Alligator mississippiensis: one gene and its partners. The protein of the gene in region 1 interacts with the protein of each later gene in a pairwise test. Links are inferred from orthologs where the notes say so. Each region holds a gene or a part of one and is shown in the gene's direction. Other genes may lie near its edges. The genes, in order: UBE2N, MID2, ZNRF2 and TRIM32.

Evidence for each region.
Region 2: the proteins of UBE2N (region 1) and MID2 interact in a two-hybrid assay, tested with the Homo sapiens proteins (2 studies listed by BioGRID). The link is inferred for Alligator mississippiensis from reciprocal best matches to the Homo sapiens genes UBE2N and MID2.
Region 3: the proteins of UBE2N (region 1) and ZNRF2 interact in a two-hybrid assay, tested with the Homo sapiens proteins (4 studies listed by BioGRID). The link is inferred for Alligator mississippiensis from reciprocal best matches to the Homo sapiens genes UBE2N and ZNRF2.
Region 4: the proteins of UBE2N (region 1) and TRIM32 interact in binary tests that used the Homo sapiens proteins (3 or more experiments, as listed by UniProt). The link is inferred for Alligator mississippiensis from reciprocal best matches to the Homo sapiens genes UBE2N and TRIM32.

What each region holds. Positions count from the first base shown.
Region 1 is NC_081827.1:87,986,150-87,993,521, reverse strand, and holds the start of UBE2N (ubiquitin-conjugating enzyme E2 N), read left to right. Parts: upstream 1-4,371; 5' UTR 4,372-4,425; coding exon 4,426-4,455; intron 4,456-7,372. UniProt on the Homo sapiens protein: The UBE2V1-UBE2N and UBE2V2-UBE2N heterodimers catalyze the synthesis of non-canonical 'Lys-63'-linked polyubiquitin chains. This type of polyubiquitination does not lead to protein degradation by the proteasome.
Region 2 is NC_081831.1:38,491,505-38,499,491, forward strand, and holds the start of MID2 (probable E3 ubiquitin-protein ligase MID2), read left to right. Parts: upstream 1-4,977; 5' UTR 4,978-5,253; intron 5,254-5,593; exon of another isoform or gene 5,594-5,762; intron 5,763-5,778; exon of another isoform or gene 5,779-6,149; intron 6,150-7,987. UniProt on the Homo sapiens protein: E3 ubiquitin ligase that plays a role in microtubule stabilization. Mediates the 'Lys-48'-linked polyubiquitination of LRRK2 to drive its localization to microtubules and its proteasomal degradation in neurons.
Region 3 is NC_081828.1:140,419,417-140,427,404, forward strand, and holds the start of ZNRF2 (E3 ubiquitin-protein ligase ZNRF2), read left to right. Parts: upstream 1-4,988; 5' UTR 4,989-5,125; coding exon 5,126-5,507; intron 5,508-7,988. UniProt on the Homo sapiens protein: E3 ubiquitin-protein ligase that plays a role in the establishment and maintenance of neuronal transmission and plasticity. Ubiquitinates the Na(+)/K(+) ATPase alpha-1 subunit/ATP1A1 and thereby influences its endocytosis and/or degradation.
Region 4 is NC_081835.1:54,504,657-54,512,084, forward strand, and holds the start of TRIM32 (E3 ubiquitin-protein ligase TRIM32), read left to right. Parts: upstream 1-4,411; 5' UTR 4,412-4,511; intron 4,512-4,641; exon of another isoform or gene 4,642-4,735; intron 4,736-5,842; exon of another isoform or gene 5,843-6,042; intron 6,043-7,409; 5' UTR 7,410-7,428. UniProt on the Homo sapiens protein: E3 ubiquitin ligase that plays a role in various biological processes including neural stem cell differentiation, innate immunity, inflammatory resonse and autophagy.

The sequences.
Region 1 (7,372 bases):
AGCTGGAAGACTTTAAATCCAATAAGTTTCCAAGGTTACAGATCACCTCTAAGGCCCCCTCTCTACACATTATAAGTAACACACAATTAACTGGTTAATCACACCATTACCTTACCTATATGTGGAAAGTACTTATCACACAATAAAAAACTCCAACCAGCTATAGACCTCAAAAATGCATACTAACTTTATAGCTGGTTGTCATCAAGCACAGGTAGCAGGGTCTCCCCTACAGTTGGTGTCCCAGCCAGAGGGGTATACCATGCCCAACATGAAACCCCCAGGCCCAGGGGATCATGACTGCTGCAATCCCCAGGGCTTGTGGATACATGAAACCTCCAGGTTTGGGCCCCAGGGTTTGCGGCTGCTGCGTTCCCCTGGGTCTGGGGTTTTTACCCCCCCTCCACCTTCTGAGCCTGGAAGATTATGGCTGTTGTAATCCCCCAGCCCCAGTGATATGTGGGACACCCATGCAGCTGGGAGCCCCTCAAATGAGAGCTTGCTTCTTGCTGCTGCAGGGAGAGCCTGGGATTGGGCTCCCCTTGCATTGGCAATAAGGCATGATGGGATCTAATGTGTGATGCCGCAATCATGCCACTTGCCATGCACACATTGAATACATTATGTTGCTAAAAAAATAAGTTTGTTCTACTTTTGTGATCAGGACTGAAATTGTAGTAATTAAGTTAAAAAAAAAAATCACCAAACATTTTAAGTGATGACTGTAAGAATAAACCATGTTAAAAAACATGCTTAAACAATGCTCAGTAAAGGATTTGAATTGAATGTTTCTCAATCAGCACAGGAAACAGAGGGCGAGTAACTCATAATGAACAGACCCTGACTCTGCAAATACTTGCACACAAAGACAAGCATGTACATATGAGTCGTCTAATTGAAATCAGTGAACTCAGCAGAATGCTGATTTGCATAAAGCTAAAAAAGGTGAATAAATGCTTTACATGACTTGGACCTTATTTAACAAATGGTGAGCTCATTTCATGAGTTAAGTCTATATACGTTGTTTTTTAAAATGTGTGTCACTTGAAAGAACCGGTGAAATCACTAATTAGTGAATCATATTGGACAGTAGCTCACAAGCAGTTGCAAGATTTCCATATTCAGAATTCAGATTGTTATGGCTGAACACACAAGTTGCATGTATTGTTTCCATTCCGTTTGGATCAAAAACAGTTAGAATCAGTCCTTTTCTGTGAATTTGCAAAGAACAGTTATGGGAGTCTCTCAAAGTGTGTTCTTTTGGTGAACATGCCTGCCAGTAAAATCACTTGAGGACAGTACAAGTAATTCATTTTCTAAAACTATAATATTTTTAAATGCTACATGAATTAAAACGTTTGTATTGTTTGTCTACTTTTATGGGAGACTGCAACAGAAGAGATACTGCTTTCCAATTAAGTAGAGAGCAACCTCTGCTATAGTTAGGGTTGTAAACATTTTCGATTTAAAGGTCAACTATTTAAGTGGGCTAAAATACACACCCTGCATTTAATCATCCAAACTGAGTTCATTTGAACAAAAGGTTCCTCAGATACAGTCCTTCCCTTCAAAATAGCATTTCTTCAAAATAATTCTACCACATTCTATTGCCCCCCAACTGTAGTGTTTGCTGGAAGTAGAATAGAAGGGACCAAAATGGGAAGGGGAACAGGAGAAAAGGTTGTAGCTGCAGCAAAGGATGGGGACATTATGGAAAGAGGGTAAAGAGGAATAGGTGACAAAGGAGAAGAGGGGCTGAGGAGGTTCAGGTCAGGAATGGGGGATGGATAGGGCAAGGGATATGATAGAGGGCATTCGGTTTGGTGGTAGAAAAAATGAGGGACAGCAACATTCAAGACCACATTCTCTCCTCCTACCTGTGTGCCCTGAAAGGAGAGGACTTTTCCCCTCTAGGGATGCCTGAGCCCCTCCTTGCCCTGACTGAGAACTGGGACAAGGGGGACCCTGAAGTGAACACAATTTTAAGCTTGTGAAAAGCAGAAAATATATGCCCTGTATGGGGTTTGGGGCTGGCTAGATCATAGAGGTAAAAGGGGTAACTTGGAGGGGGGACACACTGGGTGGGCCAGAGGCGTGGCTTAGGAGGCCTTGCTGAAGAAGGTCCAGACATGAGGATTAGCTTGACGTGTAGCTGTAACCAAAGACATGCTCAACCCTTCAGTAAGCTTCTGACTGTGGTATATGTACACAGCAGCAAAGGGTGCCAGATAGTAGGCCTGTGCGAAGTGGCTAGTATTCGCTTCGGATTCGGCTGATTTGGGGGACAGCGATTTGATCTGGTGATTCGAATCACTGTCCCGATTCAATTTGGCCAAATCTGGGTTGGAGATTCGGCAGCAGCTGAATCTCTGAATTAGCCAGGCCTGGCCCATTCCCCGCCCCTCTCCCAGCCCTGCAATGGCTGCCCCGCCTGCCCCAGCTCCCAGCACTTGTAAGGAGAAAAAAAAAAAGTCCAGACTCACCAGGTACTGCCAAGCAGGGGGCAATCCCTGCTGTCACACGCTATGTGGGGGGCTCTGCCACAAGCCCCGCAAAGCCCTGAGGCTGCTGCAGGAGCAGCGAGTCTTGGGGGCTTGTCTCTGTTTTTTTTTTTTCTTAAAGGGCTGGAGCTGGTCCGGGCGAGGCACCCACAGGGGTTTCTTTTTAAGTGATGATGGCTTGAATGCACCACTTTGCCTATACCTTCAGTATGTAATCACAGTCCCGTAGTTATTAGATTTTTTTCAGATTCATCCAACAAAATCTCACCTTCTTGAGCCCAGTAGCAGCCTTAGGGGAGGGCAAACTGGGCAACTGCTCAGGCCCCCACACTTTAGGGGGTCCAATTTTTTTTTTGGTGGGGGGGGGGAAGTTTTTGCAAGGAAGTGGCTCCATTTTAAACACTTGACTACTAATCTAATTCCCCCCAAAACATTAAAAAGATTCACAAGACAACTGTGGTGGGTTAATATTTACCTGAGTACATACCTCTAAGGGGCCTCAAATGACTCGCTTGCCCAGGACCCCAACAACTCTAAGGCCACTGCTGTTGAGCCTCTTGACAGTGCCTCCCATGCAGGGCTGAGCTAATGTTTGTAGTCAGAGTTGCACAGACTGTGGAGAGCTGTAAAACAGGAGCAGGGCTAGCAGAAGAACTCAGAGCAGAACTGCAAAAGAAAAAAATACCTCACAGTAGCTGAACATTACGATCATTAAAAAGGAGAGCACATCATTAACACCTGTGAGATTGAGAAGGAAACAGTTGGATTCCAATGAGACATAGCCAAGTGCTTCCCTCAGCAGGTGCTGGACTAGAAATACTGCTGCCCTTACCCAGCCCTTCATGGGATTATGGGAAAGCAGAGCTGGAAAGGACCTCAAGAGGTTACCTAGTCCAGCGCTTCCCAACTAGTGGCCGCAGCACAATGGCGTGCCATTACAAACGAACAGGGGTGCCGCTGAATTTTGCCTTGGTAATGGGTTACAACGAGATCATGAATAGGGGGATAGGGAACGCAAGGGAGACATTTTATTCGTGTAAATGTGTCTTGGCCTGGAAAAGGCTGAGAAACCCTAATCTGGTCCAGCCCCTTGCTCAAGGCAGGGCAGTCCCTGACTACACTTTTCCAGACGGCATCGGATGGAGTGAACTCGGGTTCACAAAAGCCAGCTTGCTCTCGCTCGCTCTGTTTATATGCGTATCTTCTTTATGCGTGTATAAAGGCATCTTCTAGCTGACGTTACACTACCACAGCTAGCCACTTCTCTAAAGACAAGCAGGGACGGAGCAGCAGAAGTCCACAGTACTGGGGCAGCGGGACCCACATGCCTTTCTCTTCTCGTGTGGTCGTCAGATGGCGCCCTGTCTGCGAAACGGGGATAAGGCTGCTCAGCCAGTACTCGGCACTCGGAGAGCCTTCAGTGCCCAGCTGAAACGAAGGGGCCGGCAGCCCCGGCTCAGCACTTCCGGGGTGGGGGCGAGGGCGGAGACCAGGCCCTATCTCTCCCGCCCACGAAGGGCGGTGGCAACAGGCCCGCACTCTTGCCCTTCCCCCCACAGCTCTACGCTTATTGGCTGCGCCAACGGCGCGAGGACCGCCCCCCCCTCGGGGCCTCGCCCCTCCCACGGGACACCGTGACTCTACAGCAAGGGCAGCGCGAGCCTGACAGCAGTGCACGTGGCTCCCCGCGTTCCTCCTCCCCGCCCCCTCAGCTGCACGTCACAGCCTGCAAGCCTGAGGCCGCGGGCCCCGCCTGCCGCACTACACCTCCTTTCCTGCACTACATTGCCCGGCGTGCCGCGCGGGGGGGGGCGGGTGAGGGGGCAGTGACGTTACCGGAAGCGGGTCGCGGGTGATTTCCGGTTGTGCGCGAGCCCCCGAGCGGAGCCGAGACCCAGCGGCGCCTGAATCCCGATCAGACAAGATGGCCGGCCTGCCCCGCAGGATCATCAAGGTACACCAGGCCCCCGCCCCCGGCTCCCGCTCCCAGCCCGGCCCGCGCGCGGCTTCCGGTGCCCGGCCCGGGCCCTTCCCCCCTCGCCGCCCGGGCCCGGGTGTGGGCGGGCGCGAGGGAGGCCCCATGCGGCGACGGTGGCGGCCGGGCCCGAGCGGGGCCTTGGCGCAGCCGCTTCCGCCGCGGCGGCGGGAATGAATGGGAGCAGCTGGACCGCGGCGCGGACGCCTCCTGCTGGCCGAGCCCGTGTCCCCGGCCCAGACCCCGACCCCTGCCCGGCCTGGCGGGCGCAGTTGTGACAGCGCCGGGAGCTGCGGAGCCCGAAGTGCCCCCGTCTGCCCCGTGTCCAGCGGCCGGGCTGTAGTGGGCCAAGAGCCGCGGCCTCGCTGCTGGGGGCGCCCACCCGATGACTCAGGGCTCGCTGACCCCCGCGCCCCCCCAGCAGGCAGGGGCCTGGCTGCGGGCCCGGGCCTTGCCCTGGCTTCACCTGTGAGAGGTCCTTTAAAAATAGAGACTGAGGAAGGGAGGAGTGTTTGCGACTGCATGGTGCGGCCTGCCCGATTCTGTTCCTCCTTGAATGCTGGCACCCAGGGGCAGTGCAGAGGCTGTGCTGGCCTGGGGGAGGTGGCTCTGAGGGAGCAGGAAGTGAGAGCCGGGTCAGACTGTTTCTGAAATGGAAAAGGGGGTAACAAGGTGGATGCTTTGCCTGCCAAGTGCTGGAGTCCTGGTTCTCAATCTTCTTGGGCTCAACCCCTGTCTCCCTTGTCCAGGCTTTGTTGGGAAGTGGCAGCTCTTCCTTTTCACTTGTTTTTAGACTGTGGAAACATCACAGAGCAATAATGTTAGTCTTGCAGAGAGCTCGGAAAGACCACCACAGGGCAGGATGTTGTTTGCACTGTGGGTTCCTGTTTGAAATCTCTGGGTGAATTGGGCTTGCACACCTCACAAGGCTGGAGCTCCAGGCACCCCAGGTTGCTTCAGCATCCTGGCTGAGATGCAAACAAAAGGTTCTCTGTTTTACTAATAAGATATAATGATGACAAGCTAAATATTGCGGGTGCCTTAAATCAAAGTTATTTCAGTATTTGTGTTCTTAGACATTGCTGTCTGTTTAAGACAGTGTTGATTTAGAGCTGTGTCATGTTGAGTTTTCAGCTCGTAATATGTTTTTGTGGCTACTGTAGGGGATCCAACCAAGTATTTTGTATTCATGGTATTTGAAATGATTTAATAGTAACATGGGTCCTTTGAAATCAGTTTAGTTTTAAGCTATAGTGGACCATAAACAAATAGGTTAGTTTTTATATTGACATCTACATCTTAAGGAAGAGATGTGAGTGAAATAACACAATGCATTTTTTTCCTTGAGGCAGCATAACATTAATCTGTGATCTTTATTGTGGATCTTTCCTTTTAGCATGGTGTAAATATTAGTCTCATTAGCTACAGCTTCAAGTTTTGAGAAGTGATGTGAATTCAAGCCCTCAAATTGGTGATGACTGGTTCTGTAAAAGTAGCTTTGTTCAAGTAAGGTCCATTAGTTCTGATTAGAGATAATAGCACCATTGTTTCTTGCTGAAGTGAATGAATATCTGGCGCGCAATTTATAATGTTGTGAAGCTGCTCTTGGTAGAACATGCTGAAAGTTGGCAACTATTACAAACATCAAGGCCCAGATTATGCAAAAAGTTGAAGTAAAAGGTATTATCAGATTGGCTGTAAACGAAAGTGAGTAAGGTAGTATAGTAAGAGGGAATAGGGAGGTACATCCCACTTAAACTGTGCAGAATTAATATTAAAGATGGTGAAGTTGATTACCAGTTGCTTAATGTTTACTATTGCTCTAGGGATTTTAAAGACAGAAGTTTTAATATAATTTGATAATGTCACTTAGCTAGCTATCTCAATGCAGTTTATCCAACACTAAAAATATTACAGTTGGTTAATAGCATGTGGTGGTTAATGTCCTGCAGTATACTAGACACTACTTATTCTGGAGGCCTGTTAAAACTGTATAGTGAAGCTGAATTTTCTGTTTGTTTTTTTTAAGGTGGCCTTGAGTATTATCTCTAACTTTCTAAAAATTAAAGGATCTATCTGCAGGGTTGCACACAGGTTTCCTTCCTGTGCTTCTGTATTTTTGTTTTTCTTCCTACTTTACAAAGTATATAGTAAATTGCACAATGCGTTTCTAAGATTGGTGAAGATGCCATTCCTCAAAGTTAAATTTGTTTTTAACCCTTTATAGCTTAAAATTAGCTTGAAATTCCAAAGCTGTCTTCTTGCAGAATGCTGTTGTGGAAGATGCTGATTATTATTATTTTTTTTAAGTATGTGCATCGGGCTAAGCGTGCAGTGCCATGTGTACATTATGTGTTTGAACTTTGATCATATAATGGATTGCAGTGGTCAGGGTTGTAATTATGCATGAATTGGAAAGTATCATATAGCCTATAGGTTGAATCTAGCTTAAGTGACTTGTATTGTGCAGAATCTAAGTTATCTTTTTAATATGTGAAATTTCTTAACTACTGTGTCTGAAGAGAACATACCAACTATAATTTGTTTGCTTGAGTCTGCAGACAGCCTGAAACAATAACTCTGTTAACTTCTCTATACCTTCTAGCTTTTGTGTTAATATTAATTATTCCATTGCTGATTTATTTTAGAAGGTGGACTAGCAGAACTGAAGCCCCTTGTGGTGGGAATTTGGAGATACAGGAAAGGAAATACAGAGAGGTGAGAGGGGGAGTAATGGCAAAAGGAGGAAGCAAAGGGGCAGAAATAATGGTGGCTTTGGGGAGAATATATTTTCTCACTGAGCGGTACTTAATGCGACAGTACATAAATAAATACATGGTTTCATTAGCATAAAACAATCCTTGATTTGTGTAAGCCATCCACTTATGTCTGTGGA
Region 2 (7,987 bases), on another chromosome or scaffold:
GCCTGTTTTGGGTCATCTGAATAGGGCCTCTGGTTACTCATCACAGCAGCCAAATTAAATTCTGATCAGACTCTGAAATTCCAGAGATTAACATCAGGTGGTACAAAATATCCACCTCACATTTAAGACTTTGAAGCTGCTATTTTGTGTGTAGTAACAAGGAACAAGAAGTGCATGCCTTTGCATTAGAAAATGGAGATGAGGAAGATACTAATGAAGTCAGCACAAAATGAACTGATAAAAATTTGAGTAAATTGCTCAGGGTTGGAAAATTAGAGGAGATTCCTTTCTGGGAATTAATCTGCTAGGTTGTCATATTTGGGTAGGGCTGGGAGTAGCAGGAACAAAAACAGACAGAGGGCTTCAAGGTTTAAAAAAGCACTGATTCTGACCATGTTGTACACTGACAAATAAGAACAAATTTAGGAGGTCATATGTTCTAATCTTGGCTGTGTTACTGACTCTGGGCAAATCATGGAGTTTCTCTGCCTCAGTTTCCCATTTGTAGTGTGAGTGAGAACACTTATTAGCCTCACAGCATACTTGGGAAAAATAGCACTAATTTTAACAATGCTACATAGAAATAAAGACTAGTTCTAAAGTTGTTTCTACTTTTCAGAGGTGTGTGGAGCACTCATGACTCCAAAATTACCTCAGTGGGAAATTGCCTGGTACTCCCACCTTTGAAAATCAGGTGTGTAGGGTCTACTGATGTCTGTGTTTCATTTAAAATGGTTAATAAAAATTCAAAGGGCTATAGTGTGCTAGTGGTTTTCAGCAGACTTAAACAACTGTTTGGCCAGTGGACTAATTTACTGTGCAGTAAAGCATCACAGTCTACATGTGTGCAGCAATTTGGCCAGTGTAGACTAATTTACAGCACTGTCGGATAGTCCCATCAGACACAGGTACTATCCAGCAACAGAGTCAATTACTGCGCTTAAATGCATTTGGCCAGTTTCTTCCCTCTTTAACAAAGAACATGCAAAGAATAACATTATTATTGTAAATATTTGCCAAACATCACCTGTGACATTTTCAACCCCAAATTCTACTTTATTTAAGTGGAAAAACTAAGCTAGAAGAACTTTGGAACATGACATAACCTTTCCCTGACACGATCCTCTCTCCTTGTCAACCTTTTAGGAAAGCTGCTTGTGAACTGAAAATACCTCCTTTAATTAAGAGTCACCGGAGCTTAGAAAAACCTGTCAGGTGAGCAAGCTTACATTTAAAAAGAAAAAAACAACTGAATTTCCAGGGCTGAGAACAGCTTAATGAAATTCCAAGGAGAAATGATCAGGAATAGGGACAGCATGAATCCTCCCATTTCAGAAAGAACATCTTTGTGGCTGCAAAAAAAAATCGTATAGATTCTTAAGTGTGTTGTATAGTTTTGGCCTACCCAAGCTGAAATAACTGACATGTTATGCAGATGGATCCACAGCAGGGGCAGAGATACAGTTGCACACATCTGTCATGGTGTTTGATTTGTAATTGTGAGGTACCCAGATGCAGTCAGATTTCTGAACGATAGTGTGACAAGAGAATGCCACTGACACTAATCTTTTTCTGCATCCTGCCTAAGACTGAGTTGCTACTCCAGCTCCCCTGCTCCTCAACCTCTCCACTTCCAGTTGCTGTCAGCTTGTTTACCTTTCTTGAGGGCTGAGGCGTGGTTGTTTTTGCTGGAGCATAGCTGGAAGACAGTAGAAAATCAAGATGCCATGTACCTAGCTGCTGCACACAAACACCTGCTGCCTGCATTCTGTTTCATCCTAGTGATTTTACTTTTGCTTTTAGCCAATTGGGGTCTTTTAATGGTTCATTGCTAGAAGAAAAAGAGGAGAGATTTGGAGCTCTGGCTTTGTATGACTGGGGACTGGGCCGGGATATCAGACTCCTGTTTGACAGCAGTTCTTTGGTGATACTGAACCTGGCTGGTAAGGAAGCCCTGCCTCTGCCTCTTTAAGTAGTACTTGGGTAATTATCTGCAAGGCCCAGAATAGTAGCAGTAGCTGTTAATATCTTCTGGTGAGATTTTCTTTTACCAATTATTCCTTAATGTGGCCTAACCTGTATTCCACATTCACCCCTCCCCCACCTTGACACTGGGCAGACACTTTTTATGCTGCATCTGCTGAGTTGTGATTGCTAGGACTTCCCATCCCTGCCACCCCTTGATGCCTTGCTTCCATGTTTAGACTATGCTCTGCCCCGCATCCCTCCATCTTGCCATCTCTCTGTCACATCTTGCCACATCCCAAACCTTTCTGAGCATTTACATGCACATGCATACAGACAAACTGAAGCAGGTAAAAAAAGATACAGTTGGCTTGACTTTATAATGCCTGGCACCTTGTGACTTCATATATAGTTTTACATCACTGAAGAATGCAAAATGGTCTCAGTTTGGATGCTGTTGGGTTTTTCACCAGTTGTCCCTTGCAGGACCCCCTGGGCTGCCCTCTTTCAGCCTGACCTGACATGGGTGCTTCTGCACTGGCTTCTATGTATGTGGCAGGGTCCTGCTGTGCCTGGGCTGAACTGCTCACTGGCCACCTTGGGAGGGAGAACGCCTAGCTGGATCCCCAGTGCCCTAGCAGTGGGGATAGCATTGAATACTGTTCTAGGCATTTTGGCCTCAGGGGAAGCAGTTCAACTCCTTCCGATGCTGAGGTGATCATCCACATTTTTCCCAGATGCTTTGCCTGCGGGATAGATATGCATCAATTAACTGAGTGTGCTGGCCTTGGGGAAAGGTTCTGGGTCCCTTCCAGCAGCAGGGAGAATGTCCAGAACCATTTCTGGTGTGTGCCTCTCCTTCCAGGCTTGCTTTTAGCCAGTTGTCCCTGGGCCGCAGGCCAATCAGCAGTGCTCTTCTGGTCAGCACGGTGCCGGCCGGCTTGATTGTAGACTAGCTACCTGAGCTGCAGTACTGAGGTGAGTCAGGTGGGGGCCTGTTACACACTGTCACATGAGTTTTGATCCCACTGAATTCAGTGGAGTTCCTCAGGATATGTGCCAACATAAAAAAGATGAAAATCGGGTCCTGTTGTTTTCTTTTCAGTTGTATTTTACACTCATTTTGCACAGATGTAAATAAGGAAATTGTGGCCCAGAGTGCTACAGACTTTGCTTTCATAGCCAAAAGAGGCAGGCTTTGTTTAGGGTAGGATAATACATTCAATCTCACAGCAAAACACTAGTAGAAACTTGGCTCTGCAGTTTTACTGCAGTGTAAACTAGGTGAGGCCAACCATAGGCCCAGCTATAGTATTGACCCCTTACCCTTAACCACACAGTGGGCATGTCTACACATGCACTTGAACACTTTTTCTAATGTGCATTAAATTTAGTACCTCCAATGTGAGTTCCTAAGAAATGCGTATTAAGCTGCCTTAATGAGCAGTAATGAATGCGCGTGGTTTTTAAGTGATGCTAATGCACAGTAAAATAGGCTACTGTGCATTAAAGCACACATGTAGATGCATCCAGTGAAAACTGTAAGTGCTTTGACTCCACTCAAATAGTCAGGGAGGCAGCTAACATGTACCAGTTATACCACTATGAAAAAGCAGGGAGGAAAGCCACAGTGACTTAAGGGCATAGGTGGAAATAAAACCTAGGTTCTGTGCTCCAAGGACCTCCTTCAAATCACTAATACAATCCCTTCCTGCTTCACCCTAAAAGCAACATAGGTTCAAGGCTTAGACATGTTTCTTAGCGTATTTATTTGTAAAGAAACAAATTCCTTATTTATCAAATATAAATAATGTTTGACCTGGATTTGCATTATGGAAGAATAAATATATCACTGGGTCGCCCATCCTCGTTTCCCTTGGGTGTTACAAGTAGATGTACTTTATAAATAGCAATAACAATGCACATGTATCCAAGACTTTTTCTAATGTATTAAAACGTACAGTACATCAGGACATCACCACCCTTTTCTGAACCAGAAAGTAAGAAAAAAGCGAATCTATTTCTCAGTTGTATCTGCCAATGGAAAAGCAAACATATTAAAAGACTCACTGCAAAGAAATTGAATCTCAACTTAAAGTATCTCCTCTACTGTAATAATGAATAATAAAACACCCCATGGATCTCATTTAAAGCCTTTGCCTGACATGTGTGCGTGTGACTACCTTTATAATCATTACTGGCCTGTGAACAAGGAAAAAAATGTTCTTTAATGTTCCATTCCCACTCCTTTTTCTCATGCGGAGTGTGATAACAACTGGATAGTAGGAAACCTTGACTTCAATTGTGTAAACTCATCCTGCAGGAATGCCCTTGGCAATAGGGTGGGGTTGGACACAGGATCCTGCCCAGATCTGCTGGCAGGATCAGTTCTTTTTTATTGGCCCGGTGGAGCAAAGCTCTAAAGAATGGCACTGGCTCGGAGAATCTTGGTTTAGTATCACACAGCAGCAGGGTGGGAAGGGCCCTCAGGAGGTCATCCAGCGCAGCCCAAGCCCAAGCCCCTGCTCAAAGCAGGACCTGCCCCAACTACTTCCTTCGAGCACTGAGCTGGGGGAGGAGAGTGTCAAAGCATGCAGTTGTTCCTGACCGTGCCTGGCCTGTGAAGGGCGATGAGGGGCCACAGCTGTTTGTTCCTCTGGGTCTCAGCTGTTATTAAACGGAAAGGAAAAGAGGCTGTTTAGGGCCAGTTACAGGGAAAACCTGGAGTGTACATACCACGCAGCCGCCTTCCTGCCTTTGCAGGGAGCCTGGCACAGTCACTCTGAGGCGCTGACTGCCCCGTTCATGGCAGCGAGTGCTACAGCAGCCGCGAGGCTCCTTTCTGCAGCAGCCCGGCTGAAGACCGCTGCTTGCCAGCCGTGCGGGAGCGGAAGAGGCAGCTCCCGGGAGCCTGGCAGCTGTGGGGGGCGTCCGGGCGGACTCCCTCACCGCACTGCTCGCGCCCCCTGGGCTGCCCGGAGGCGGCGGCCCGGGGGGCTGGCGGGAGGGCTTCCCGCGCCGGTGTCCGGGGAGGGGCCCGGACGGGACAAGCTTCCCGCCAGGGCCGGCAGCGCCCTCACCTGCGGCGGGAGCGGCGGCGGCGGGGACGGAGCGCGGCTGCCTCCTCCCTCGCTCGCTCCCTCCCCCTGCTCCCTCCTCCCCGCCCGCGCTCCTCGCTGCCTCCCTCGCCCGCGCCGCTCCCGCTCGCCGGCTCCCCCGCGCCGTCCCCCTCCTGCGCCTCCAAGATGCCCGGGCAGCGGCGGGGCGGCTGCTGGAACCGGCTGGTAGGTAGGAGCCCCCCGCGCTGCGCTGCGCTGCGCTGCGCTGCGCTGCCGGCCCCGGGGACACGCCCGGCGGGGGAGGTCGGGGCGGGAGCGCAGCCGGGCGCCGAGAAGCGGCGGCGGTGCCGGTCGTCCCCCGCTCCGGGCAGGCCGTGAGGCTCCGCGGACAGTTGCGGGCCGCCCGCTCCCCGCCTCCGCAGGGCGAGGGCGATGCTGCGGAGCTGCTGCCTGCGGCCGGGAGGGGAGGGGGGGCACCGTGTGGTGTCCGCGCTTGGGGGAGGAAGGGGTTAACCGTGCATGCCCGGGGGTGCTGCCCTTCCTGGAAGGGAGTGGGGTAGTCTCGGTTATGGCGGGGTGGATGCGACTCTCCGGGATATCAGGCTGCCACAGCCCCCAGCCCGTGCGCACACCGCCCGCAGCCCAGGGGCTGCCTTCTCCGCATTGGCGGCGAGCGCTGCGAGGGAGCCGCGGTGAAACCCGAGCCGGGCCCGGCTGCCGCGTGGTTCGGGTCTGCGTGTGGGTTGCTTGTTTGTTTGCGTTTGCCATTTCCGGCCTGTTTGTGTCATGGAGCTCGATTAAAATCCTTTCTCTTCTGGGCGAGTCTTCCCTGGGGTGGGTAGGTCAGAGAGACACGGGGCCGAAGTGATCACCCCTCCCCTCTCCCCCCACTTCTTCTTTTCTCACCCTCTTCTTGCTTCCTAAATACCCAGCCTGCCTCCTGCAAAGCGCGAGGGCAAAAGCTTTCAAGCAGCTTCTGTGGGGAGGAAGGCTCCATTAGTGCGCACTGCTAGAGCTGCCCAGCTGTTCTCCACCCCCTCCCCCACCCCCCGACAAGGAAGCTGGATACATCCTGCAAATCCAGATTACACCCGTGGAAGTAAAGACACCTCATTTCCTTTTCAGGTATTACTGTTGGCTCTGAAATGCTAAAGTTGGGAATAGCTTTATAATTCAATCATCAGCTGGCTGCTGGTAGCTTTTCTGATCTCGGTCCCTGAGCCAAGCAAAGTTCTCACTCAGCCACTTATACGCTCCTGGTACTGCCTGAATTCTCAATCATGATTTCTCTCTCACTCTCTCTGATTTTATTTTTCAGGGGGAGTCTGAATTTGTATCCTTTCTATCTTTTGCTTTAGAGACTAAATTTTAAAATGACACATTTTAGTTTCAAGCTTCCCTGGTTGCCAGCAGGGAGTCTTGTAGAGCTTGGAGCCTTGTACAGTAAGTATACTGTCTGCTTGCCTCAGATTTCATTGCTAACCATGTTCTACAGCTTTAGTGGCAATAAAGGTTAGTTAAATGTGAGTTAATGGGTTTCTTGTTATTTAGTCAGCTTTCTTCTGAAGTTGACAGCAAGGTGAGAGAAAATTCATGCCTATAAGGACAGTAATAATAATTTTATGTGGTGAAGTCCATAACCAGCTGGTATTTTAAATAATATTTTACTGTTGTGTTTCATTGGCTTTCTGTTCTTTGACTGACTATTACTGGTTTTGAAATGCGGCAAAGCGTGATTGAAGTAAATATCCGACAAGGTAGAAATGTGTCCGAGTTAACACTGTTTTAAGTTCTAGTCTTCAGGCTCTACTTGTGCATTTGGTATCAACCATGTATTCTATGCCTATAATGCAGGCCATTCTAGATGTTTCCAAGGTAGTTCAACCTCACGGGTTGCACAAATTTCTGGGGATTTTATTTGGGACTTCTGTTTTGGTGTCCCATCATTTTCTCAAGCCCTAGGTGCTAATGCGTTAAGCACCGCCTCTTTCTTTTTGACTGTGGTCCAGGTCTGCTCCCTCTCTAAAACAAATTGTGATCCTTTCCATTTGGTTTTTGTTAGTGACTTCAGGCAGATCATCCCCATTCACGCATCTGCCACAGCCCAACCAGGTTTCCAGATTGCATGCTCTAGAATTCGGCATAGGCATGGAGTTGTTGGTGTGCTCCTAGACAACATCATGCCCTTACAAGTTAGATCACAGGTGGGCATTGCTGGGAATTTGCAGTGCAGTGCCAACTGCTTGCCCTGCTGTACATGGGTTTGAGATGCTCCTTGATCTTTCTAATAATAATAAAGCCTGTCTGCATGCTTGCTTGCCTTCCTCCTCTAAAATAATCCAAGTAATCCTCAATACAGGGGGCACTGATATCATGTGCAGCTAAAACAGGCTGTAGAATAAAGTGACTACAAGAATTTGAAGAAAGTGAAGAGTGAGGTGCAGGCCACTTCTACAGGTGCTTTGAACCCTGTGCTGAATTCATCATTGCTACATGTAATTTGTTACATAGGTGGATACATAGGGATACATAGGTGTTGCTGTTCACTGTGCAATTTCATTTTTTTGTTTGTTATTGTGGAAGCAAACGGCAAAGATATCCCAAAACTTTGTTGCAGTGAAACAAAATACAAAATTGACTGTGCTTGGATATTTGGTAAAACTTAAGTAAGAAAGCTGCTCAAAAAAGAGAGCAAGCAGGGTAAGGATACAAGAAGGGAGAGGAAACACCATCTGCTACAGCGGTGGCATTGATTTAGACAGGTGATGATATTGCTCCAGCACCTAGGGAGTGCCCTGTGCTTTAGAAGTGATTAGAGACAGGTCTGTGCCCTGAGGACCATTTTGCAGTGTTGAGTGAAAGCAGTGTGTGTACAGTGAATGTTTTGAAAGTTGCCCTGCCTGTTTTGTAAATGTTTCTTTTTCTGAAACTGCAGCTGCTGAGAAATTCTGTCCTTTGAAATA
Region 3 (7,988 bases), on another chromosome or scaffold:
GCTATTTTATGGGCTTTTTGGGAAGAGTTGAAGGCATGCCCCTGGGTCAGATGAAAAAAAAAGAAGCTTTCTCCTGTCTTGATTTATTAGCTGGATGAGTTGTATGGATTTACTGTACATGATTAATTTTATACTTGTCAGACTAATTAACGATTAGAACACCTTGAACTTGTTTTACAGGCCTTCTTAATTCCAAGTTATGTTCAATACTCTTGAGAGGCAAATGCTGCCTATATTAACAATGAATGCTTAACAGATCAAAGGTGGAGTAAATTCATGAAATACTCAGTGTAGCAAGAGGATTTTTAGAAATTCTTCTACTATTGGCCTAGTTCTGGAGGTAGCTGCATTGATGATGGCAGTGGTGCAAAGGCATTAGCCGTATGCTAACACACTGTCCTCGAAATCTGCCCTGAGCCATGCTGGACAACACAGTGGCAAAAATGCCTGTGTTTGGTTCCAGCAGTAGCAACATTCCTGAAAATGCAGGGTGTCTCCTGTCATGGCTCATAATGCAGCTAGGGCTGAGACCTGCACATAACATTATTCAGGTGGATTCATGGGCCCATGGAATGCCTTGTTGACTTTATTAGCATGACTGACCAAGATTTGATTTCCTTCTGCATTCAGACATTTTTCAGTCTTTCGGATTTAAAAGGCTTGTTTGCATCTAATCACATCTGATGACTGGTATAAAAGATGTCCCAGCAACTTAATATATCATACACAAAATATGTTTTTAGATATTTTTTTTTTAATGTGGGCAAGTATTTGGGGGGGGAAAAGCTTATGCAGTAAATTGGAAGCTACAGCCATTGTGATGTTGATGTATATGTAGCTCATTGGAATCCTTATTCAAATAGAACTCACTGAGCCATGGAGAGCCTTGAAAATATGAAGCTCCTCTATGCAGTTATGTACTTTATTTATGCCAGTCATCTATATAAACAGTTTATTTTGGATGACTGATTGTAGGAATCCTGCTCGTATATATTGGATGCAGAGACATTCAATCATATTTTCTATTTTTAAAGAAGTAAATGATTTATGCTGCAATTTGTCATGTGGAGATTGAACTAATGTGGATAGCTAGCTCAGTTTATAGGGCCAAAGCCATATATCCTTATTTATGCAAGACTCATTAAAGTTTCATCTGAGTAAGGGACTAATGGCTGTAGGATTTTCCCTGTAACAAGTTTTGCCCATAGTAAAAATGTGCAACAAGATTTTCTCCCAGTATTCCCATCTCTTTACATCAGTCTGGTAACACTGAAAGGCTGCAGTCAGGACCGAACTGCCTGGAAAGAATTTGTCCAGCTGGGAAACATTTCAATCCTGTAACAAGATCAGAACTACCTCTTGCTGCTCTGGTGTACAAAAAACATCAAGGGGAAGAGCGAAGGGTGCATCGAGAAATGGCAACTTTGACAGTTCTCAGTCAGTGTATATCTTTATTGGAACTGCAGCTGGGTGGCTGAGTAAGAACCACCTTACAGCCCTCTAGGTTTATATGCTGATTTGATAAAAGTAATGCGTTCTTTCCTGCAGCTTCCTGCAGGTCCTGTAGAAAATCTGAAATGATACATCTCATTTAAAAACAAATAACCTGTTGCTATAACTATATACCGAGTGAAAAAGAACATTTTCTAAGAATCTGTTGTCAATAAGCTGGTTACCAAAAATGATAAATTAACGTAACTATTTAATGCTAAAACATGATTGGTGTTTGAATGTTCGTATCTTAAAGCAGAATGGCTAACCTGTGACATACATGCCACAAGTAGCATAGGTAGCCTGTGTACGTGTGGCCCATGGCAGATGAGGGAGCGGGCAGAGGTCAAAGCTGCAGGTAGGGCAGGAAGTAAAAGCAGAACAGCATATTGCGAGGGGAACACAAGGCAGGTAGAGCAGCAGCATAGGGATGCAGCAAGGCACCCAGGGCAGCAGCAGTGTCTGGTGGCCACCTTAGTCATGATCACACAGTTGCCAGCAGCAGCCACTTCCCCGCTGTCTCCCTCCCTTGTCAGCACCTGGGGTGGTTGCTCCAGTATCCCTGCCCTATTTATGCCACTGTCAGGGAGCAGAAAGCAGAGTGGACAGGGAACACAGGGTAGAGAAAAGTGAACAGGACATCAGATTGAGCAGGGGAAGGGGATCAGAATGGCACTCAGGTACAGCACAAGCTTAATCTGTGGCACACCTGCTAAAATAGCTGGCCCCCATTGTCTTAGAAAAACTAAAATCTGTGAACCTAAAACTTGTTCCTGAGAAGGGTCCAACATGGAATAGCCACTGTTGTATTCCTAACTATCACTTTTTTTTCTATCGGTAGAAGTCTGCCTCCTGAGCCTTGAAATATTGCAGTGGTTCAGAACCTAAAATCCTAGATACATCTTCAGCGTGCCTCCTTGTACAGTTCTGTACTTATAGCTCATAGGAACTCATTTCAGTCACCTTCAATGAAATCTCGCTACTCTTAGTCAAGATGTTCATTCATTTAAGAGTTGCCTAGATGTGTGGGCAGATTTCTTCTTAACTCCTCTGGAAACTGTACTTGAACAAAAATGCTCAGAGCATAATAGTACTTTGTAGCTTCTCCCTTTTTAGGTAGCACAGACCTGCATGTATTCGCTTGTGTATATCTATTTCTGTGCAGGGTAACCAGCAAATGTATGTGCATTTCTAGCTTTAAGGCACATGAACAACTGTCTTTTTGAAGTGATGTACTATGCTTTTTAAATCCTTCCCACCCTCTCCCCCTCCCCTCCATTATATAGAATCATATAAAAGTGGGGCTGGAAGGGACCTCCTGGGGCCATCTAATTCAACCCCCGCCTGAGACAGGATAATCTCTATTTGAACAATCCCATACAATCCATAATCTAAACTCCACATAGGATTACTATCAATCCTGATGCCACACAGACCTAGCACTCTAACCTGCAAAGCAGGGAAACCATGGCAGCCAACGTCCTGCTTCTATGAAATGTTGTCAATATATGCTTTAGAGATCCTGTGTAGAGGGCCACGCCACTCACTACAGAGGTAGGCAAAACCCCCCACTGTCCAAACCAATTTAGCCATGGGTAAAATTCCTTCCTGACCGCCAATATGGTATGATCTAGATATCAGGTATGATGTAGATTAAGATTGAGATGAGAGCAATTCAACCAGGTGTAACTATATGGATGTCTGCATTTCTTATCTTCAGTAAAGCCTCTAGCCCTGGACTCACATTTTCAGGTTTGCTCCACAACTGTGAAGGTGAACAACTTCTTTCCCTGAAACCCCCGAGAACTGGGATTCTTAGCTAATCATCTGTTTCCAGCAGCTGGGGTTTTAAGGAAACCCCAGATGAGGCAACACTGGGAGTTGTTTTCACAGAATCATAACAGAAGCAGGGCTTGAAGGGACCTCATCTAGTCCAGTGGTTCTCAACCTTTTTTGTACCAACCTTCTTTGTAAACATCAATGGCCAGTCCCGACCCAGTGCCCTTCACTTCCGACCTACTGCCCCTCACCCCCTGTATGTGGGGCAAGGGTGTGTGTGTGGGGCATGGGGCCCAAACAGCCGCTTGCAGACTGGAACTTTGCCAGCCTGCGAGGGAAAAAGCCATGGTTTCCCATGTTTTTCTCCTTTAAAGGAGAATCCATTTGTAAAGTTTGTTCATGGCCTTTTAATATATTCATGCAACTCACTTTTGGGTCGTGATGCACAGGTTGAGAAAAGCTGCTTTAAAGGTCATCCAGTCCAACCCCCTGCCTGAGGGAGGCTCAGCCCTAGCGAAACCACCCCCTACAAACCCAGGGCCTGACCTCCTAGCAAAACTACCCAGTCAGCACCACAAGACCTCGCTCCCTGACCTGCCCCAGGTAAAGCAGGGCGGCCAAGGTCCTGCTGCTGCGTGGGTGGTTCAGCTCTTCTCCAAGCCTGCAAGGGGAAGACAAAGTGGGGGGCTCTTGTGGCTCTGTCATGATGTCCTCTGCATGAGTGACTGGTGCCTCCTGAATCTGGGGGTGGGGAACCCACAGAAGCTGCTGAAGGCGGTGGCCATCAGGGGGGCACCAGCCCTACCAACTGCATCAGTGTCGGCTGTCAGTGGGGGCATGTGCACCCCCTACCAGTCGCCTATGGTCCCCTGTCTCCTTTCCACAGACCTTTCCCCACAGCGGGGGCCTGGGCAGGGGGGATGCTCCCAGGTGCCTGCCCAGCAGCTACAGGGGCTCCCCCAACGCTGCCTCAAGTCCCTCATTGCTTCTTGGCCTCTTGTGGCCTAAGATCGATGGTAGGGAGTACCTGAAGAGTGGGACTAAAGTCAGGGATGGAGGATGCTTGCCTGTAGTATCCAGGGGCATCTGAACCCCAAGACGTCTGGGCTTGGACCTGCACATGGGATGTCTGCCAGTGGATTTAGAAGTTTCTGAAGTTCCTGAATGACAGGGCTGGGACAGAGGATGCTCGCTGGTTGGAGTGCCAATACATGGTGGTTAGAAGGAGCTCTGCCTGCTCCATCCATACCGATTTTGGAAGGGTTGAATTGATACGATTTGGAGCAGATTTGATCTGGAACAGGAAATATATTATAAAAAAGAAAAGTGGGGAGGGGGCTGTGTCAGGACAAGCAGAGAGGTGGGTTAGCTAGAAGTTGGGGGGAGGCAAGGGGTCCAGAAGCACCGAGGTGGGGGATTTGAGCGGGGTGTGCCAGTGCCGCCGCTGGGACCGAGGCCGGGAGGTTTTGGGGAGAGGCTCGGGGCCAGACCCACGAGGGAGCAGGAAGGAGTTGTGTCCCCGCCGCGGCCAGAGCGGCGCAGCCCTGGTGCCCGCTGCTCCCAAGCGTATCTCGCCGCGGGGCTGGGACTACGGCTAGGGCGAGAGGCCCCGCGCGCGACCCGAGCCGGGCCGGGCCGGGCCCCCTGCGCAGCGCAGCGCAGCGCAGCGCAGCGCCGCCCCCAGGATGGCGACGCGACGCGGCGGAGGCGGTGCTGCCCCTCCCCCAGCGCGGCGGCATGGCGGCGGCGGAGCTGAGACCCCGCGGGGCGGGAGGTGGCGGTGGCTCATGGTGGCGCTGAGCCGCGTGGCGGCGACACCCAGCGCGGAGCCCGCAGCTCCGGCCCCGGCCGCAGCATGGGCGCGAAACAGAGCGGCCCGGCCACCGCTGCCGCCGGCCGCAGCCGGGCGTACTCGGGCGGGGACGTGCCCTCCGGCAGCGGCGGCGCGGACGGGCGGCTGTCGGGCAGCCCGGCGGCGGGCGGCGGGGCCGCGATGGCGGCGGCGGGGGGCGCGCCGAGGAGCCGCTCGGCCGGCGCGGCGGCGGGGGCCCGGGCCGCCTCGTCCGCCCCCCTCCAGCCCCCCGGCAGCAGCGGCGGCGCCTCCGGCTCGCAGGACTCGGTCAACAGCAGCCCCGAGGACGGCGGGCGCGAGCGGCCCGCGGGCAGCGGCGGCGGGGGGGCGGCGCGGCTGCTCATCGGCTCCCTGCCAGCGCACCTCTCGCCGCACCTGTTCGGAGGTAGCGTGGGGCCAGGGCCGGGTGGGCTGAGGGGGGCATTTCCCCACCCAGCCACGGAGCACGGGACCAGGCAGCTGTCTGTCCCTAGGAGCTGGGACTTTCCCAGGCTGTGTAACGAGCTTCCCCCTGGCCCAGTCCCGCCCCAGGGGCAGGGCGCCACCCGCGGAGCCCTGCGTCCTCTCCCTGCCCCCGTCACGGCCCCGCCGGCGGCGTGTTAGGGGCGCGGGGCTCGGCACCTGGCTGCGGCGGGGGGGACAGGATTTGAGGGTGGGCTTCTTTGGGGGCTGGACTCGATGATCTTGCGAGGCCCCTTCCAGCCCCTAATGGCTGTGCATCGTGAACCATGACTTCAGGGCACAGCCTCCCCCAGACAGGGCGCTCCCGCGCTTCTGGGCCCGCCGTGTGGGGCTGGTCTTATTCTAGGAGGCTTAAAAGCGGAAGGAGGGAGGGGGGAGGGGGATGTAGAAATGAAACCCCACAGCAATGCAGCAGTCGCTGGGGTGAGAGGGAAAGAAGCTGCTTTGGCCTAGAACTTCAGACTTTAATAGCTGTAATCAGTGACTGGGTAAATACCCTGGCCTGTTCCTTACATCGTTAGGAGTTAATTGGATCATGCGTTGGTGCTGTTGCTTTTCCTTGGGGCAGAAATCCGGCTTCAGAGAGGCAAAAACCCCCAACAAAGCAAAACCACGTGGTCACAGCTTGTTCCTGGTCCAGAGACTTGGGGTTTTCTCCAATGAAAGCTGGTTGCTAGTGACAGTAGTGTAACTGCAAGTTTCTCTGGGTTCTCTTCCTTCCCGCAGAGATGCTGATGTTATAGATGAGCTGAGTTCCTTTAAAGAGCCCTTCTCACCAAAACCACACTATATGAGTTCATTTCTGGTGTACCAGAGTGTATTTCCTTGAAGCTGCAGACAGAGGGTTGAGCAAAACTACTTAACTCTGGGTCTCAACCTGTGGTCCACAGACCCGTGGGGGTCCGCAGACTATGTCTATGGAGTCCACGAAAGATGACTGTACTCAATCAAAAGTCTGTGACTACCCACACTTAGAATTCAAAGGGGTCTGCACCTCCATTCAAAATTGTTTTGGGGTTCACAAATGAACAAAGGTTGAAAACCACTGACAACTTACAGGGAGCAGAGTCAAAGTAAACAATGAATCTCTTGGGTGTAGACTTTTTTTCTTTACAGTACAATTTGAATGAATAGTTTTGGGTACGGGGGGAGTTCATATACTAAGCCATTTCTTTCAAGCATAAGTTTTTAGGTGAAGCTGAGCTGACTTCCTTCAGTGACACTGGCTATCAAAGGGCCACTCATGTCAGAAGGGCAAATGCTGCGGTGCAGCGGGACATTGATGGGGTCATTCTTTTAAAAGCTATAGGAACCTAATATATATGTGCAAAGACTAGCTGACTTGGAAAGGAGATCAAAACTGGTTGTTTTGGGGGAAAGGTTGTTCAGTGCAAAGTGCCTGTCTTAAAGGTTATCCATTTATGCTGCTAAATCTATTTGTTTGTTGCCATCGAACATAGTTTCTGTGACATGGAATATCTTGTGGGTTTATTTTTGAAACTCATTCTCAGTCCTTAATGAAAGTGGCATAATCTCAAGAACAGAAGGTCAAATTAAGATCTTTTTCTTCCCAGTCCTTACGCTTCTTGGCTGATTGGCATGAGTGACACCCCCCACCCCTCTCAACACATAGACTTCTTTGTTGGCTGCCTTTTTGTGTGTTTAGACCTGAAGACAGTCCTGTCATCTCCTCAGTCTGCTATTGTCTCTTCCTAGTTCTGTGGCTGAACACAAGAATGGAAAGTGTCAGGCTACCTTACTAAGGAGCGTTTGTCCTTGAAAGAGAAAAAATAAGCATATGTGTTTGTATAGTGCCAGGCTGCTGCATATCTATTAACTCTCTGTTTATCGACTTTAATCAGATCAGGGCTCTGGTGTAAGGATGGTTGCTGTGTCAGAATATTACAGTATGTAGGAAAACAGTTGTGTACAATTCCCTCGGCAGTCAAAGGGTGCTGTGCCACTGCTTATTCTACAGCTAAAATATAGTGAGAGAGAGATTAAAACTTAATGTTTAGTAATTTGTTTGTTGAAGAAAATGATTTTGCCCTTTAAATCTTTCAGTGGAGCCTGCATAGTTGCAAGGAGAAATGGGATAAAATATGGGGTAGGAATCAAAGATCAAAATATGCAGCTTGGGTGTCCCCCCTTCCCTCCCAGTGATTGGTTGAGATTTCTTGAGCATGAGAATTTTACCTAATTAATTGCAGGCCATATTTTTCCTCTTGTTCCAAATTCAGATGATAATATTTGCATAAATGTGCTTTCTGTAGAACACTGGTTGGTTGCTCGCTATGTCTTATTTCCCATCAGCATTTGAAACCGGAGTGATAAAGCATTAGTGTTAATTGTCTGAGACAATATAGAATTTATGCCCTACTGGAGCTGAATAACCTTTTTTTTT
Region 4 (7,428 bases), on another chromosome or scaffold:
ACAAGGTGCTAGCTCTTTGAGGCCTGCACTGTGACCTTGCTGTGTGCATCCCTTGCTGCCTGCATTGCACCTGGCTCATTAGGAGATGGATGGAAGCCCTGCGCTGTACACTCATAGATGGGACCCCATGCTCTCTCCAAGTGATTGCAGGTCTGTGTCCCCATCAAATTGAATGATGCTTCAAGGGCTCATCTCATGGGTGTGCAGCTCAAGGACCACTCTCTTTATCCTGGAAGGTCAATATTTCACCCATTCCTCCCCAACACGCATGCATACGTGTACAATAGATTTTCCTTAGCATGCTCACAGTTCATTGCCATCAAATTTTGCCCGCTTGCATCACTGTAAATTCACAAAGATCTTGCCAAGTCTCGTTCAGACCTTCAACACCACCTCAGACAAGGACTTCTGGCTACCACTAATTAGGCAGAAATGGGGGGTGGGGCAGGAGGAGGAGGTCATGTTAATGACTGATGTGGGACCAAACATACCAGACAGACATGACCAAAGACAATGCCATCTCTCTGGGGAACGCGCATCCCCGAGGGTGCTGGTACTCTATTCAGTAGATGTCCGCAGCATTTTACTGTCATCAGGGAATGGAGATGGAAGCTAGTAAGGACGCAATGGATTTCATTTCCCCTTGTGACTCAACTCAGGGCTTTTCTCTGCTCCCTAGAGAAGTGCACTGACTGGCTACACTGCTGAGCTCCATTATTTTATGATAACTCCCCCAATCAGAGGATGGTGCCGCAGATTCTGGTTCAGTCTTTGGCTTCGGAGCACAAATCTGAGCACAATCCATGATCAGAGGTAGGTTTTTAGATCCTTGTGGCTGCATACTCACAAAGAAGAGAGCCAGTCTGTATGTCTCCATTAATAATCAAATGGTTAAGAGTCAGAAAATCTGGCTCCTATATCCATCTCTTCTATAGAGTGACTGCACAGTCATACTCAAGCCACAAAAATCATGGTATGCCTCAGTTCCCCATCTGTAAAATGGGGACCCTGTTAATGTAATATAGCAGATATATTGCTTATATGTTACTAGATACCATTAGAACCTCTCCACTGAGCCTCAAAGGTCCTGAATTACTAACTTATAAAGGAGATGAGGAGAGGCTGAGGGAACTGGACTTATTTAGTTTGGAGCAGAGAAGACGGGGTGGGGTAGCAACCTTCAACTACCTGAACCAGGTTCCAAAGAGGATGGAGATGGACTGTTTTCAGTGGTGGCACATAATAGAACAAGGAACAATGGTCTCAAGATGCAACAAGGGAAGTTTAGGTAAGATATTAGGAAGAACTTTCTCACTAGGAGGGTAGTAAAACACTGGAACAGGTTACCCAGAGACATGGTGGAAACTCCATCTTTGACAGTTTTAAATACCTAGGCAGACAAAGATTTGGCTGGGATGATCTAGTTGGGGCTGGTCCTGCTTTGAGCAGAGGGTTGGATTAGATGTGACCTCCTGAAGTCTCTTCAAACCCTAATTTTCTATGATTTTATGATTCTCCATTAATTCAAGAACAAAAATATATGTTACTGGAATAGAGGGACTTGAATATTTGCTAGAACAATAATTCTGAACCAGGATTATGCCATCCTTTTAAGGATACCGCACAATATTAGTACTGTTTGGCGTGCAAACACCTATACGATTCACAACATAAACCTAGATGTTTCAAATAGAAACCCATAGTGTCAAAAACATGTCTGACCTGTTGTGGTCCTTCTGAGTTCTTTGCAGCAGGAGACCTACTCTATTTGTTTCTGTAGTAAAAACAGATAAGCAAAAGCTAAGAGCTGGCATTTTGGGGGTGGGGGTGGGCCTTGAGTCTAAAATAGTTTGAGAACCCAGTGTGCTAAGGTCATGGGCTTCTGATCAGCTTTCTTTATTTGCAGGGTTTTTGACAGCAGCCCAAATATTCATTATTAGAAACTCTGAATATAAGGGGAGCCAGTCAGTTTGGGGTCTTCTAGTATCACAGCAATGGCAGCACTGTATACTTAACATGCATTGCTTAAAGATTTATCAGTGCCATGGTATTTGGCAGCCGCCAGACTGACAAGCCCCTATAATTTTCAAGTCAAGTCTGCTATTAGAGGCCTTACAAATGGAGGGGGGCTAGTTGGTTTTGGGGTTGCTAAAACCGTGGCACCAATAACACTGTAAGCAAAGCTTAGTAAGTACATACGTACCCTGTGCTGTCAGGGCTACAGTGCCAACAGTTCAGAAATTGACCAGCTTCCCGAATTTCCAAGGTTTTTCTCCTCATATTTCGAGGCTTCTGTTACAGGGGGAGTCAGCCTTGTTTTTGGCAGGCAAGCCACAAATTAGCTCTGCATCCTCCCAAGTCCCACTCTGATCCCTTTCCCCTACCTGATCTGTTCTTCTGCTTTTTGCTCTATGCTCCCTGACCAACCTGTTGCTCTGCTTTTTGCTCCCTGCTCTGTGCTCCCTGCCTGATCTGATGCTCTGCTTTCTGCTCCCAGCCCTATCTGCTGCTGTGCTACCTGTCCCCTCCCCAGTCTGCCACAGGGCACACACACAGATGCTGCCTGTCCCACACGTGGCACCTATGGTGCAGGTTGGCCACCCCTGTTCTATTAGATGCTTTGAAAATAAAGGGAGATAGCAGCCACGAAACAGATTAGTCCTGCTCATTTCCGAAGCTCTAATGGCATCTCTTTGACAGCAGCTTCCCGTTCCCTGTTTCTGGCAGTTAAATCAAGGCCAATTAGTTACTAGGTAAAGAACTACCATTACAGTCAACATGCAATTATCCAAGTACAATGAAGTTATAAAGTAGATAGCAGAGCTGAAATATGCTATGCACTTAAGCAGTGTATGCACTTAACCAACATGGTAAATTAAAATGCAGCAATACTAGATGATACAATGCGTGGGCAATATAAAAGTAAGCTAATTATACACTTCCCAATATTATATAAGTGAAATACATTGCATCTATAAAGCAGTCTGAGATCCTTGGATGGAAGGTGTGATGCATCTTAGAAATATAGGAACGTAACTGGAGGGCGCCTCCTTTTTTGTCGGTAGGTGAGGAATCCCCCTGAGGTCACCACCTCAGTTGCTCACGTACAACTATAGGGAACAGTATCCAATATACCAAGAACAGCTTGTCTCATGATCAGGTCCTATCCATGTCAAATCCTACAAGCAAAGAAGGGCAGGCTGGGATGCAAACCCCTGCTTCCTCTTCTCTACAATGGGGGTTGGTATTAGAGCAACTAAATGGGTTGCTGGCCTCCAAGAAGGGAAGCAGGCCTACTCGCAAATGCAGGCAAGACCTGGCTCTTCCTAAGCCCCAGCCTCATGATGCTGCCTAAACCACCCTTTATGCACATCTCTGCAAAAAAGGACCTGGGGGTTACAGTGGACAATAAGCTGCATATGAACCAACAGCGTGCCCCAGTTTGGGGGGTTTTTTAAGGAAAATTTGTTGTGTTCCAAGCCAAATCCATGAGTCATTCAAGAACCGAATGTGGCCCTGCTACCGGCAAACATCCTCCACCCCCTGGGGCTTCAGATGCTTCTAAATCCTTTGGTGGGCATCCTACATGCAGGCCCAAGCCCAGAGGCTTGGGGTTTGGATGACTCCGAGTTTTGCTTGCCCTCAGCCATACGGCTGCAGAAGCAAGCTAGGGAGGAGACTCCGACTTCCATAAAGTGGGTGTAACACCAAGATCTTCCCACTGGAAATGAAAGTGGGAGGTTACCTACACATTACTTCTGCGGATACTACCGTGTGCCACAAAAGCGACTAGGAAAACCCCCATAGGGGTCCTGGTATTTCCCCTGCCGGGTAAGTATATAGTACGAAGTATGCATGATATTAATCCAAAGCCAAGGCCTAGTTGCCGAGAAGGCTAACGGCCCACTGGGCTGCACGAGCACCAGCGTTGCCAGCGGGTTGATTCTTCCCCTCGATTCAGCACTGGCGAGGCCACATCTGGAGTGCTGTGTCCAGTTTTGGGCCACTGCTATGAAAAGGACACGCACAAATTAGGGAAGAGCCCTGCGAAGGGCAACCAAAACTGGTTCAGGGGGGCTGGGCGGATGTGACAGATGAGCCAAGGGGGCTGGGCTGATGTAGTCTGCAGAGGGGGACTGAATGGCAGCTTCAACGCCCTCCAGACAGCTCGAAACCTCGGCGAAACCCTTGGCTCCTGCGAGTAAGGTCACAGCCACGACCGCCTCGGGAGACCGCAGAGGATGGAGCCGGGCTGCTCTCCACCCAGCCATGCTCTCGAGCTGCAGCAAGGGTGGAGGCTGGGTACCAGGAAAACCAGGGTGAGGAGCATCGGAGCAGCTTCCCCGGGCACGTTTAAGACAAAGCCGGGCTGCGAGCAGACAGGCGGCCTTAGGGAGGGGCCTGCAGCATCCCCGGGCCGGACTACAGCTCCCAGCCTGCTGCGGGCGGACGGGCGGGCGGTGCTCGCCGGGCAGCCTGGGAGCGGCGGCGGCGGCCGGAGGAGCGGGCAGGTAGGCGGCAGGGCCGGGCCAGGCCGGGCCGGGCCGGGGAGGGGCCGCGGATGCACCCACCTCGGGGCAGGGAGGAGCAGCGCCCGGGCGGCGCCGGCTGTCCGCCCTGCAGCGCTGCGCCCGCCCGCCCGCGGCCCGCGGGGACACAGCGCGTCCCGGCCGGGCGGGCGGGCGGGCGGCACCAGCCCGGGGGGCCTGAAGCCTCCGAGAAACCTGGGGCTCCTGTGAGTAAGGGCAAGGCTGGGAGACCCGCAGGCCTTCCTGAAACCCAGGAGCTCCCCTGCCTCTTTCTGCCTCTCTTTCTCTTTCTTTTTCCCCATCTCTATCTCTTTCTCTCCATCTCTCTTTCTCTATCTTTTGCTTTTTCTCCATCTCTCTCTCTCTCCATCTCTCTCTCTCTCTCTCTCTCTCTCTCTCTCTCTCTATCTGTTATTGAAAGGCCGCTGTTTCCTTCTGCCTGTTGGAAATCTGACCCGCTTTAAAAGGAAAAGCTGCTTATCCCTAACAAAAGCATGCCCCCTTTCAAGGCGGTCAGTAGCCCTGTGTGGCATGTCAAGCATCCTTTTTTATCCCTCCTAAGCAAAAGCTGTTGGCATGTTTTCCTACAGACCTAGATCAGTGGGTCTCAACCTCCTTAGACCCAGCCCTGCTTAGACTGAAAGCAGTCCCCAGAAAAAGCCAGCTTTTCATTTTTGCTCGTTTGATTACCCACACACCCACACAATCACACCGCCTTTTTCCTATTGCATGCATGCACACACAATAATACAGCATTTTTCCTACTGCATGCGTGCACACACACGTGCGCATGCACACACAATAATACAGCATTTTTCCTATATTGCATGCATGCACACACACACAAATTTTACATTTTTCCTATTGCACGCACACATGTGCACACATGCACAATTATACATTTTTCCTGTTGCACGCACGCATGTGCACACATGCACAATAATACATTTTTCCTATTGCATGCATGCACACCTGCACGCGCACACAAAATAATACAGCATTTTTCCTCTTGCAGAGAACTCAGAAAGACTACCACAAGGATCGGTGTTTTTAATAGGATGGATTTCTATTTGAAGTAGCTGGGTTTGTCTGGTGAATCGTGTTTGCATACCTAATAGGGCTAATATTGCATAGCACCTTGCAGTACCCTTGGGACGATCTCAAGACACCCTGATTTGAAATCACTAACCTAGATAGTGGGTTTTGTTTTACACTCTGGGTTTCTTGCTTTTAGCATTTTTCAGTGCCATTGTTCACCCCTTGAGGGAGTGTTTTTGGCCTACTTTTCAGCATTCTCTCTTTTGGTCCCACAGCCTCCTACACATGCTAAAGATAAAGGCAACTCTCCTGTTTCAGTGCTGGACACCTGTCACTTCCCAGGGGCTGTGTTAAGTCCGCAGTGCTGCTAATCCAAGGAGCTAAGGAGCAGATCTCAGTTGGTAGTTCAGCGCAACTCCACTACAGGATCGATTCAGTCCCTGGGAACGAGGGCTGCACAGAACAGCAAACTCTGGTTGGTTGAAAGCAGATAAATGAATGTATGCTTCACCCTCCGTGAGCACAAAGTGCTTCTCTCTACTATAAATGTCATCTTTCAGTTGAGCAAGCGGTCTCCTGAAATGTACCAAACCTTTCTGTCTAAAATGCTCCCAAGACTGAAGCAGGCTCAGCAGGGAGGTAAAAAATGCTGAGAGCAAGCAACCCCGACTCAGAGAACAGCTGAGAGTTCACAGTTCTGTACAGGTCTTGCAGCACTGTTCTTCATCTGAAGAACCCCAAAAAAACAACCCTCGGAGATTTCTAACTCCCCTCACCCCAACCCCTCAACCTCTTTTAATGGCAAAGCAAAGCAACAGCAAAGATATGGAAACGGAGTCTACTGAATAATAGCTTAATGATGTGAACCCTTTTGAATGGGGCTGCTTTAGTGAGAGCTGCTAGAATCCTTTCACAGTAGGGAGTGATGTGAAGATACAGGAAACCTGGATAAGCAATGGCATTAGACTGAACCAAAATGGGATGGATGCTACCAGATTGTTAAATTAAATTAAATGAGCTACATTTTAAAACCAAGTCTGAGAATGAATACTGAACACTCACATTCACATATTTTTATTGGACCAGTTATTAACGCTTTCACTGGTGTAGTGAAAGTGGTTTTCCCAGTGTCTTGGGGTACAGAAGCAGGAATGAAGAGATGAACGAAATGCATTAGATTAAATCTGAACAGCATACTTTCAAATGGGCTAAAACTCTATAAACCAGCTTCTGTCACATCACTTACACTGGAATTTATCTTTCTTCAATGCATATGAAACTTGCAGCTGATCATAGTTATCTAGAAAGATAAAACAATCCTATTCACTTTACCCATGTCTGATGCCACACACGAATCTAGATCTCTAGGGTAGACATGCTAGTATCCTAAGGCAGCCAGGATGTGCTCCTCATCGCCAAACTTTTAACGTGCAATATCTGATGATCTCACAGGTCCCTTCCAGCCCCTAAAGTCTATGAAATCTTAATGCTTGGTGTACTTGCCCAGGATTTTCTTACATTATATAAACTTGAAGGCACTCTGAGGACAGAATTCAGTCATCAGTATCTATTGTTGCCCTTGCACTTATTTCAGGTTTGCTTATACATTATATTTTGCAAGTAGATTATTCATTGTATTGGAAAAGGCAAGTTAGCATTGGAATTCGCCCAGTGTGAGACCAGCTGAGATTAATCTGCCCCTTTAGCATGTGGAAGGACCAACTGGATTTCTTCCTTTTTTTTTTTGCCAGAGCTGGCTAATAAATCAGAAATATATTGCATGTACATAGAGCTGCTGGTGGAGAGAAAATAAATCACTTTTTACTTTTTCTTTTTGGGCAGGATCAGAGCACCTTGGAAT